Cricetulus griseus: one gene and its partners. The protein of the gene in region 3 interacts with the protein of the main gene of each other region in a pairwise test. Links are inferred from orthologs where the notes say so. Each region holds a gene or a part of one and is shown on either strand. Other genes may lie near its edges.

Region 1 (3,016 bases), on a different chromosome or scaffold from region 3:
AAATATGTCACTGGGGGTGGGCTGTATTTATAGCCTCACCCTACTTCCTGTTCTTACTCTTCCCTGTGTGTAGATGCTACCATGATGTTCTCTGCCCCTCTAGAACCATAAAAGCCACAACAAACCCTTTCTTCTTCAAGTTGATTTGGGTGCAACAAAAAGTAACCAACAAAGGAATTAAGGGATCCCGGAAGAACTATGAATAGACAAGCATTGCGGCAAGTGTGTCTCAGAAGGCTTTCCAGAGGAGCCGATGTGATAGACCACTTGTGTCATGAAGTAGCATGGCAGCTGATGGCTCAGCTCAGTCCAGTTGTTAGCAAGCACTTGGAGCTGGAACCTAGGTCTTCCTTTAGCTCACTATTCATTCTGTCTTTGCAGCAAACCCTTAGATTTGCAAATCACTTTTGTTAATTTTGGTTTAATATGGAGATAGGGAGGAAAGTTCCTTAGAATCCAGGAGTTAGAATTGTCATGCTAAGGTAAGTCAATATTAAATAGACAGGACACAATCATTTCACAAAAAAAGATATATTTCCACTCATGGCTATTTACAGTTTCATATTCAGAGAATATCATATAACTGATACCTTCTGCAATGTTTCATGCTTTTCTTTTAAATGCCTCTATTTACATTTATATGACATGGAATTAAAACTAAGATGGTCAAATACCATGATATTAAACAACCAGCAACATAGCTATGTCTTCTTAAATTTGCTGATCAACATTAGCAACAGTTATCTTAATAATAAATTACCATTTATTTAAAAATCAGTAGTAATTTTAAACAATTCATAAATTCATAAATAAGTATGCTCTGTGCAATTTACACATTTAACACCCTGTGGATATTAAACGCTCGTATCTTGTTAGATTTGCACATTATTTATCAGACCATAAATAAGCATTCCGAGCCAGACTGGAGAAGTTTCAGGTAAGGCCTCAAGGTCTTCTGGGTGGTTCTCAGAGCTCGGCCTGCTTCACCGAGGGAGGTTCCAGTTTCCGTGAGAGGGCGGTTAAAATCTGGTTGAACTTCTCGTATCTCTCAGTCTGGTTGACTTCAGCACCCTTGCTGCCCCACAGCAATCGCATCTGAAATTCAGTCTTCAAGATTTCACTCATTTCTTCATCCGGTTGAAAATCTAATCAAAATAAAACAGGTAAGTTCGGTTCTGCCTCAAAAAAGTGAATGAAAGCCTTCCTATTTTACAGTAGAATTAAATGAACTTCCTCCTCTCTGAGTTCTAAAAACTGCTTCCATAGAAAAATGTAGGATGACATCATTTGGCCAGCTTTAAAGAATCCACAAGCCTGTGTCCCCCGGTGAGTGTTGGCTGGCATCTTGTCTGGATTTGTTCCTAACAATTTTACTTGCCATGTGATTCAACTATGTAAGCTGTAAGATTTGATTGATGCTAGTAAATTTATAGATACTTTATTCAGCTTAGAAAGTTCCCTAGTACTCCAGACAGCCAGTCTGTTCCTGCCCCGTCCTAGAGAACCGCTGATGAGCCTTGCTGCTTTAGAAGTCTGATAGAAGTGGAAACATGTGATAGGTTGTGCAGTCAGGGCGCTTTCACTTCGTGTCATGGTTTTCAGATTGTTCTGTGTGTGGCATGTTAGCAATAACACATCCATTTAATTGCTGATTAGTAGGCGTTTATAATATATGGACATATCAGATTTTGTTAACCCATTCACTAACTGATGTACTGTACATGTACAAGCCCGAGTATGGATGTTTATTTCTATAGGGTCATATGGTAAACCTGTGCTTATTTTGAAAGAACTAGTCATAACCTTGTCAGTTTTATATTCACTCATAATATATGAAGATTTCAGTGTCTTCATGCCTGGTTTTTATCAATAGTCTTCATTAGAGCCACTCTGGGTATCTCACTGCATCTAAAGTTTCAATTCCTAAACAATTTTTTCCCTAACAGTTCTGCATCTTCTCTGAGGTGGCGTCTATTTAAATTACTCATTTGGGGTTTTTTTGTGGGTTTTGTTTTACTTGTTTATTTTGGTTTTTTGAGGCAGTGTTTCACTGCTGGACTTACACTCAAATAGACCCACCTGTCTCTGCCTCCCAAGTTGGAGTTAAAGGTGTGCTCTGCCACCGCCTGCTACTCCTTGTGTTTCATGAGGTTTTTAAGCTGTAAGTTTTTCTCCTAAGATACAGGTTTAATTGTATAGCTTGCTTTTTTACTTAATGTTTTGAAGAGCAAAAATTAAAAATCATGATTAATTAGTGTTTTTGGTTAGGCTTTATACTTTTCTTCCTGCCAGGGGCATCATGCGATTCTTTTATATTTTATTACAGAACCTTTTTATACTATAAAGTTGAAAAATATAAGAGCCAAGTGATTTGCTACATAGGTTAGCTTCTTTAATATGTAACATCCAGTGTCATATATACTAGGTGCTTTAATAGCTATTGAATTGTATACTTTAATTATGAGTCACATGCCAAACCTGAGGACCTTGTGTGACTGCACATGTGTGTGAAAGTAAGGAGCCGTCTACCTTGTTTTTCTGAGACAGTATCATTGGCCTTGAACTCATCAAATAGGCTATGCTTGCTGCCAATGGGCCCTAGGGAATCCTCCTGGGTCTCCACATACGCTAACTACCATGTCTGGCTTTTTCATGTGGATTTTGGAGATGGATGTCAGGTCCTCTTTTGACTGAGCCATCTCCCTAGCCCCTGAGGAATCTGTGAGGAAAGTCAAGAAACAAGTATATGGTACCCACAATGCAGAGTCTAGTACTAACATGTAGCTCTGAGGTAACAATATTCTATTAAAATGAGATTGATAGGCCCATTTTTGTCCCACACAGTATCTTGAAGGGTCTGAAAAATTAGAAGCCTTGGCTAAAGTTCTTGGTCAAGCACTTGATTTCTAAAGAGGCTGTCTTCCTTCAGCTCTGCAGCCCATCCTCCACATGTCACCAAGGTGACTCAGTTTAACCCCTCCCGAGCTACAGCCCCTCCATCTTCAGTGCAGTTGGC
Region 2 (3,516 bases), on a different chromosome or scaffold from region 3:
AGGCATCTGCTGACCTGATGTAATTGCTGACCATAGGTCCATGTCATCTCTTATCTGCTGTTCTCAAGGTCCTCTGGCAGACCCAGGATGGCTGAAAGGAGATATCAATTGCGCATGCTCTAGGCCAGCTGTCAGGCCCATTGAGGCTTAGTTTTCCCACAACTTTCTTTTTTCTTTGAAAAGTCTTTATCAGTTACTAGTACTTCACAGCCTATTGACAATCCCTTAGAATTTAATTTTTTAAAGTTACATTTATTTATTTAATCTATTGTGTAAGTATCTGTGTGTGCAGGGGGAATACAAGCATTCATGGCACATGTGTGGAGGTCAGAGGACAAGTTGTGGGAGTCAGCTTTCTTATAGAACCCAGAACCAGCAGCTCAGGGGTGTCACCACCTACAATGGGCTGGGCCCTCTCCCATCAATCACTAATTAAGAAAATGTCCTACAGCCGGATCTTATGGAGGCATCTTCTCAATGGAGTTTCCCTCCTTTCAGATGACTCTAGTTTGTGTCATGTTGACATAAAACTAGCCAGCACAGAACACTTCACAGGAATAACAAGGTTTCTTGAAGCTGTAAAGAACAACCTTAAAATCAAAACACCAAATCTTTAATTAGCTTAAAAGTAAAAAAAAAATAAAATAAAATAAATTAATTAATCAATTAATTAAAGCAAAGCCAACACCGAATGAAATCAAGAGCACCCTCTGTTGACTGCTGATGTGCTGTGTGATACCTAGTTTTGGAAACTGCAGCTGCCACTGTTGCTGTTCTGGGCAGATTTGCCCCTTCCAACAACCTAGGAGGGGCAGGTGAGGCTCACACTAGATTTCCTATCTTCTTTGCAGACTGCCAAGACCTGCAGATGCTGGGATATATGCTGCCTCTAAATATTTATGTCCCACATCTTAGAAAGGAAGATCTTTTTTTTTTTTTTCCTACTAGCATCCTTTCCCCATGAGTTCTGTAGCCACTTTGCCCCGCCTCTCAAGGTACATACCAGTCTGTACTCAAGGGATATGCCATTCTGTGTCTAGTGTGGGAGAGAAGAGCAGATAGCCTTGGGGCGGCTTTCTTACCTTCCCTGATCTTCAGTTGTTTATTGTTCCTCTTAAGGTAGGGTCTCCTTATTTAGCCCATGCTGACCTTGAACTAGCCATCCCCCTGCGTCAGCCCCTCCAGTGCTGGGATTATAGATACGCACCAATACACCCAACTCTCAGCCTCAGCTCTCTGGTTTGAAAAAGAAGAGTGATGGTAGTCCACATTCTTGGCGTGAACCGCTGGCTGTGGAGGCGTAAGGGTCAGTGAGTGTAAAGCCCATGGTACCAGGGCAGTACGCCATCGGGTCAGCCTGGAAATCCAACAATTGCTGGATTGTTGTTTCCTTTTTGGAAACAGCCAGTCAGCTGGCTGTTTGTTTACCTGGTTGTTTCCTTTTTGTTCTGCAGGAAATTTGTGAGAATCCCCGATTTATCATTGGTGGAGCCAACAGGACTGACATCTGCCAAGGAGACCTAGGTAGGAAACTCCCTCCACCATGCCCGGCCAGACGACCCAGGGCTAGTTAGCAGGTGTGGTCTCTATTCAGGATGTGAAAAAACAAAATTCTGTTTCTTCTTTTAATGCATTTCAAAATCTTTTAAAATTATCTATTTAAGTGTGTGTGTGTGTGTACAACCACACACCATGGCACAAACCTAGAAGGTCAGAGAACAGCTTGTGGGGAAACAGTTGTTTCCTTTTTCTGTGTAGGATCTGGAGGTCAAACTCAGGTCATCACATTAGGCATCTCCACACTAAAGGAGTCTTTTGACAGAGGTGGCATTTGCCAAGAGGAAGAGAGGCCCAGGTTCTGTCAGCTTGGCTGTTACACAGCCCTTCCTCTCCTTTCACCTTTAGTTCTGGAAGCATCCTCCCTGGGGCAGACTGTGGGCAAGCTCTGTGGAGGGAAATTGGAGAAATCATTAAAAGGCAATATAAAACACAAAAAAGGCAAGGGCAGCTGAAAAGCATCATCTTAGTTTCTTCCAGAAAGAGAGGCTGCAGACACTGGGTGTTGGGGCACCTAAGGGACACTGCCTGGGGACAAACTAAGCTCTGAGCCCTTCAAACCGATACACTACTTCCAGAGGATAGGCTGGCTGATTCAAAGGAGGGAGATAGGTGGCTTGGGCAGTTGTCAGCCTCTCCTTACCAGCAGGGTGGTGGCTGGCCTGTGCCCTTAGTAGATAGATGCAGGACTGTCGGGGCACCGGGTATGCCTTTTGCCAGTCTCGGTGCCCTTTGTAGACTGGTCCTGGACAGTTAGCTGATGCACATCTGCTTAGTTGATGGTTCTCTGACACACAGTTGTCCTTGATGCCAAAAGGGAAAAGGTTAACCCAGCAAAAACGGAGGGCAGCCATGACCACCCACTGCTGTCTCCTTGAAGGAAGTGAGTCTCTTTATAAAAGGAGGAATTAGTTGACCTTAGGAAAACATCCAATCCTGAGAGAATGAGTTACCCTGTTCCTCTGGCTGTTGAGGAGTTCCTGTGGCTCTCCTTGCCTGGGTTCACACCTGGTGAGGGCAGACAGGAAGTAGGGAGGTGGGCAACATTAGCATCCAATTCTTCAGGATGGGGAATTCATGGCAGGAGCTGGGTCTTCTCTTCCCAGAGGGGCAGCCGCTACCTGACTAACAGTCTGTGTTTGCCTACAGGGGACTGCTGGTTTCTTGCAGCCATCGCCTGCCTGACGCTGAACGAGAGGCTGCTTTTCCGAGTTATACCCCATGATCAAAGTTTCACTGAAAACTATGCGGGGATCTTCCACTTCCAGGTGAGGAAATGGGGATGTGGGTGAGATGGAAGCCAGACCTTGGTTGATGCATTAAAGATAACCTCAGAGAAGGCACCAAAATGCTCCATGTTGCCTCAAGGAATGAAAACAAAGTAACCTTCTCTTGGGTTAGTTTAAGAGCCAGCCCACTTCTTGTGTGTTTCCAGTCTATGGTTACTGACCTGTCTGTAGTCTGTATGTTCTGTTTTCTTTTTGGTTTTGGTTTGGTTTTTTTGTTGTTGTTGTTGTTTTGTTTGTTTGGTTGGTTGGTTGGTTGTTGATTGGTTTTTCTAGACATGGTTTCTCTGTGTAGTTTTGGAGCCTGTCGTGGAACTGGCTCTGTAGACTAGGCTGGCCTCCAACACAGAGATCTGCCTGCCTCTGCCTCCCTAGTGCTGGGATTAAAAGTGTGTACCACCACCAGTCAGTGTATTCTGTCTATTGTATGTGTGTGATTTGTCTGTCCTTGTTGCCTATGTGTGGTATCTGATGTATGTATGTGCCGGCTGTCATACCTGTGGTCTGCTCTTATCTGTGCCTGTTCACCCCCCAACCCCCCAAACCCCATCCCCACCCCCACCCCCACCCCCAGGGTGTACTTTGGAACCTGTCATATAACTCAATCTGTAGATCAGCCTGGCCTCAAAATCACAGAGATTCGCCTGCCTCTGCCTTCCGAGTGCTGGGATTA
Region 3 (4,162 bases):
TCCTCCTCCCTGGGAGGGCGCAGGTGGCTCCCTGCTGTTATTAGAAACCATATGGCCTTCCCATACAGGGCCTAAGAGGATACTGAAGTAGCATGACCAATGGCAGTAATTGTAGCAGCCAACACCAGGCATTGTCAGACTTCCGTAGAGCTGTTGCTACTCAAGGTCCAAGCCCTCTACACACACCAGTTCATGCTTATAATATTTATCTGAGTGGTAAAAGTACTCTTTCGATCACTCCCAATTTACAGATAGAGACTGAGGCTGGAGACCTTTGCTTCAAGGAGCCTATCCTACATCTAGTCAGGGGGACTGGACTTGTACCGGGCCATCTCATTCCAGAACCTTTTCTGTGCTCCTGCAAGTGTAGGGGCCAGAGACTCATCATGCACTGTGTGGTTGTACCCAATGGCCTGCTGCAGGGTCAGTCTCTCACTGACCGTGCAGCTATGGTCAGAGCCTTGGGCATTCAGGCTGCAGTTCCTGGAAGGCAATCCCCTCCCAAGTGCACCCGAGGAACATCAAAGGGCCTGGGCTTTCTCCCTCCTGCCTCTGCTATCCCCAGGAACAGCAGCAACCCACTTCTCAGATGAGGAGACTGAGGTTTCAGGGGAAAAGTCATGCCCCCAAAGCTTCAGAACAAGCAGTTAACAGAACTGAAAATTGATCCCTGTGGGCAGAACCCTACTAGACATTCCAACACTCCTAAAAAGAGCATGCCAAGTATCCCTGGAGACCTGAGGTGCCAACCCTTTCCTTCATTGTAATACCCCAGCATACAACTCCTCACTGGTGCCAGCAGGAGGCCCTGTCCACACAGGCCAGATCCAAGGGGATGCCCAAGTTGCTTCACAGGAAGTAGGATGGGCTAATACTTTGGAGGACTTTGCACTCCAAGACCAGGCCCCTTTCCCAGCACAGCTGGCAGAGGCTTCACCTGGAGCTGCTGGATGCCATACACATGAGGTCACCACCAGGCCCCGGCCCCCCGTCCCCCCCAGGTCACATCCTCCAAGCTGCTCACCCTCACAACCACCCACAAACATTAGCTACACATTTATAAAGCAAAACAACTTCTCTGCACTTCAGCTCCACTCTCTGGCTGTATTTTGTAGAGTTGGAATAAGCCTCCTGGTTTGTTTGAGACAGGGTCTCCTGCAGCCAAGGGTGGCTTTAAACTACACCAAGCCTCTGATGGCCTACAACTCTTGATCCTCCTGCCAGCACCTCCCAAGTGCTCAGATTACAGGAGCGAGTCCCCCACCCTGAAGTTTAGAACAGCCCCTTTTTGATGTCCCTCTGGTAGGGCAATAGTGACATAAAAGTTAACACGATGAATTGCTGGTGTGGGTGGCCAGGGAGATGGCTCAGTGGGTACAGTGCCTGCCTCACAGTGCAAGGACCTGAGTTAGGATCCCTTGTGCCCCTGTAAAAAGCAAATGTCTATAATCCCAGGTCTGGAGGGAAGCGGCCTGGAGACAACTGGCTGGCTAGCTGAATCAATGGGCTCCAGGTTCAGTCCAGGAGAGCCAGGGAAATGGCCCAACAGGTAACTTGTTACATAAGGGTGGTGACCTGATTTGATCCCTAGGACTCAATAAAGATGGGAGGAGAAACTGACTCCTGACCCCTAAGGGTGACTGACTGACCCCCCAACACACTTTCTCTATTAAAAAAAAAAAAAGATTAAAAATAAGGTGTCTCCCATCTAAGTACTAACCATGGCCAGCCTGGTCTACAAAGTGAGTTCCAGGACAGCCAGGGCTACACAGAGAAACCCTGTCTTGAATAAACAAAGATAAAGAAATAAATAATAAAGAAAAAGAAAGTGGACAGCGATTGAGGAAGTTGCTAGGCATCAACCTCTGACCTCCACAGGTATGAGCACATGCACCATGCACATAAAAATGAAAAGCAGAATTTCTCATAAGTGTCAATAACTGCCCTGGTGTAACACCACAGATATTTCTGAGGTTATGAAATTGTCACACTGGGGAGGGCTGGGGCCTTGTACCATTTGCCTCTAAGATACTCAAGAGCTGGGGTTTCTTATCCCCACTACACAGAGAAAGAAACTGAGGTAGGGTAGAGGAAGGCATCTTGTCTAGGTCTCAGACAGCCTAGTTTGGTCCCCTTCCCCTCCATTCCCAAACAAAGCAACAAGTAACAGTGACAGCTGCTAGTGACACAAAGTCCTGGGGCGTGAGGAAGTGCGCAGTCAGCCAAGTATTACCCGGCCTTAGTCACAATGAACACTTATTTCAAGTGCCTGCCCCACCTGAGCCCAAGGATTCCTGATGCCCCACCTCCAAGCACCTTCCATAAGCTTAGTGCCCAGACCCCTGGGCTGTGCCCATCTGTGCCTGACACACAGGGCACAGCACCCACTGGACTATAGACATGGTGGCCATGGATCAAGGCTATTCACACTTCTTCCTGCCAGAACAGCTACTCCATGGGCTGGATGAGGCTGTTGGGGAGAGTGGCCCAGGCACCTGGACATGGACATGGCTGGGAGGAGCAGGGAGGAATCCCAGAGTCCTGCTCAGGACCAAGTTACTTACTGCCCTGCTGCCCTGTCTGGCTTCCCTTTCCCCACAGCTATCACTTCCCACCCACAGCCTTGCCCAGGCCACTCACCTGATGGGCAGTAGCTGGAGGGAGTTGGTGAACCTGGGTTGGCAGGACACTCAGAGGAACTTGGTCAGGGTTTGGGACTTGGTCACGGTGACTGACTGCAGGAACAGGATGTCCATTAGCCCTGGAGATCCCAGAGGCTGTGAGAGGCCCAAGGCTAGCAGGGGTATTTCACTGCAGGGCTGGGAGGAGGCGGAGGCAGGGGCGGGGCCAGGAAAATCACTTTCATAAGCATGAGTCAGCAGGGGCCCCTGGGTGAATGAACTTGCCCCTGGCCAGCCTTAAAGGGCCCCTGCTGGTCAGCCCCCCTTTTTAGGCTCGATCTGAAGGAGGAACTGTGACCCTTGGGAGAGATCACCTGGTCTCTTCCCTATGGGAACAACTTTGCCATGTGCAATTGAAATGACTGGCCTGCTGGCCCCTGAAGTACCTTATGCAGCTGTTCCACCAGGCTTCCACCCCAGCTTGTGGGGAGGGGGGCAGAAAAAAAGCCACCAGGCACCAGCCTGACCCCTGGTAATCCCCACTCTGTAACTTCTTGGTTGGAGGCTCTGGACAAACCTCAGTTTCCCTATCTGAAAAACGGGGTTGAGCTTGATTCCTTCCTGGGCTGGGGTGTGTGGGCCAGAGGATTGTGTGGTATCTCCCTGGTCCTCATAGACTTCCCTTCCTGTAGAGGAGCGGGGAGGGGTCACACCATCTGCTAAACTGTTCTTGAGTTTGCTGAATGGAAGCTTGGTCCTGGGGTGGCACTGTTTGCTGCCTACTAGGTCTGGGACAGCACTCTCCACAAAGGTGTTCAGTATTTGCTCCAACAGAAGGAAGTTGGGTAGGGGTTTAGGTCACTGTCAACCTTGGTGACCATTACCTGTTCCTGTCATTATCAGCTGTCACCCTCATGGTCCTCTCTGCCACCAGGGCAAGGACTGGGGGGTGGGTGTCAGGCTCTTGCTCTAAGAACCAACACTAAGAGGGACTCCACACACTAACCAAGAAAGTGACGCTTAGATGCAATTTTCTAAAAAAAAAAAAATGAAGAAAATTTAAAAAAGATGAATACAAACGCCAGATAAAGAACCCTTCAAAGACCCTGTAAAGAAAGACAGGGTCCTTAGGCCCACCTTGTGGAGCAGCCTCCAGCTGGGAGAATCTTGGCTACTAGCACACATTTTTATTTAAAAATTTAATATTTTGTTTTTCCTGGCTTAAAAAAATTATTATTTAAAATGCTGCATATAGGCCTGGGGAAATAGTTCAGTAGAGCCAGTGCCTAGCATTGCATGAGGCCCTAGGTTCAAGCCCTAGTACCATTAAAAAAAAAAAAAAAAAAAAAAATCCTTCCACAAAACCCTGCTTGCATTCATATGCATATGTTCAAACCTGGGCTCAGGCTGGGAGATGGCTCAGTGGCAGAACACTGCCTAGCATGCTCAAAGCCCTGGATTCAATCCCCAGTACTGCTACACACACACAAACACACACACACACACACTCACACACACACACACATCCCTACCTCACACCA

What was found. The genes of interacting proteins can lie anywhere in the genome.
Region 1: the proteins of Osgin1 (region 3) and breast cancer anti-estrogen resistance protein 3 homolog interact in binary tests that used the Homo sapiens proteins (3 or more experiments, as listed by UniProt). The link is inferred for Cricetulus griseus from reciprocal best matches to the Homo sapiens genes OSGIN1 and BCAR3.
Region 2: the proteins of Osgin1 (region 3) and Capn3 interact in binary tests that used the Homo sapiens proteins (3 or more experiments, as listed by UniProt). The two-hybrid records come from large-scale screens. The link is inferred for Cricetulus griseus from reciprocal best matches to the Homo sapiens genes OSGIN1 and CAPN3.

Annotation. Positions count from the first base shown.
Region 1 is NW_023276806.1:35,976,796-35,979,811, forward strand, and holds the end of breast cancer anti-estrogen resistance protein 3 homolog, read right to left. Parts: intron 1,146-3,016; coding exon 967-1,145; 3' UTR 516-966; downstream 1-515. UniProt on the Homo sapiens protein: Acts as an adapter protein downstream of several growth factor receptors to promote cell proliferation, migration, and redistribution of actin fibers.
Region 2 is NC_048599.1:57,997,927-58,001,442, reverse strand, and holds part of Capn3 (calpain-3), read left to right. Parts: intron 1-1,454; coding exon 1,455-1,524; intron 1,525-2,706; coding exon 2,707-2,825; intron 2,826-3,516. UniProt on the Homo sapiens protein: Calcium-regulated non-lysosomal thiol-protease. Proteolytically cleaves CTBP1 at 'His-409'. Mediates, with UTP25, the proteasome-independent degradation of p53/TP53.
Region 3 is NC_048596.1:196,070,498-196,074,659, reverse strand, and holds the start of Osgin1 (oxidative stress-induced growth inhibitor 1), read right to left. Parts: upstream 2,809-4,162; 5' UTR 2,641-2,808; intron 1-2,640. UniProt on the Homo sapiens protein: Monooxygenase catalytic activity. Involved in regulation of cytokinesis; promotes RHOA activity, probably acting locally at the midbody in late cytokinesis.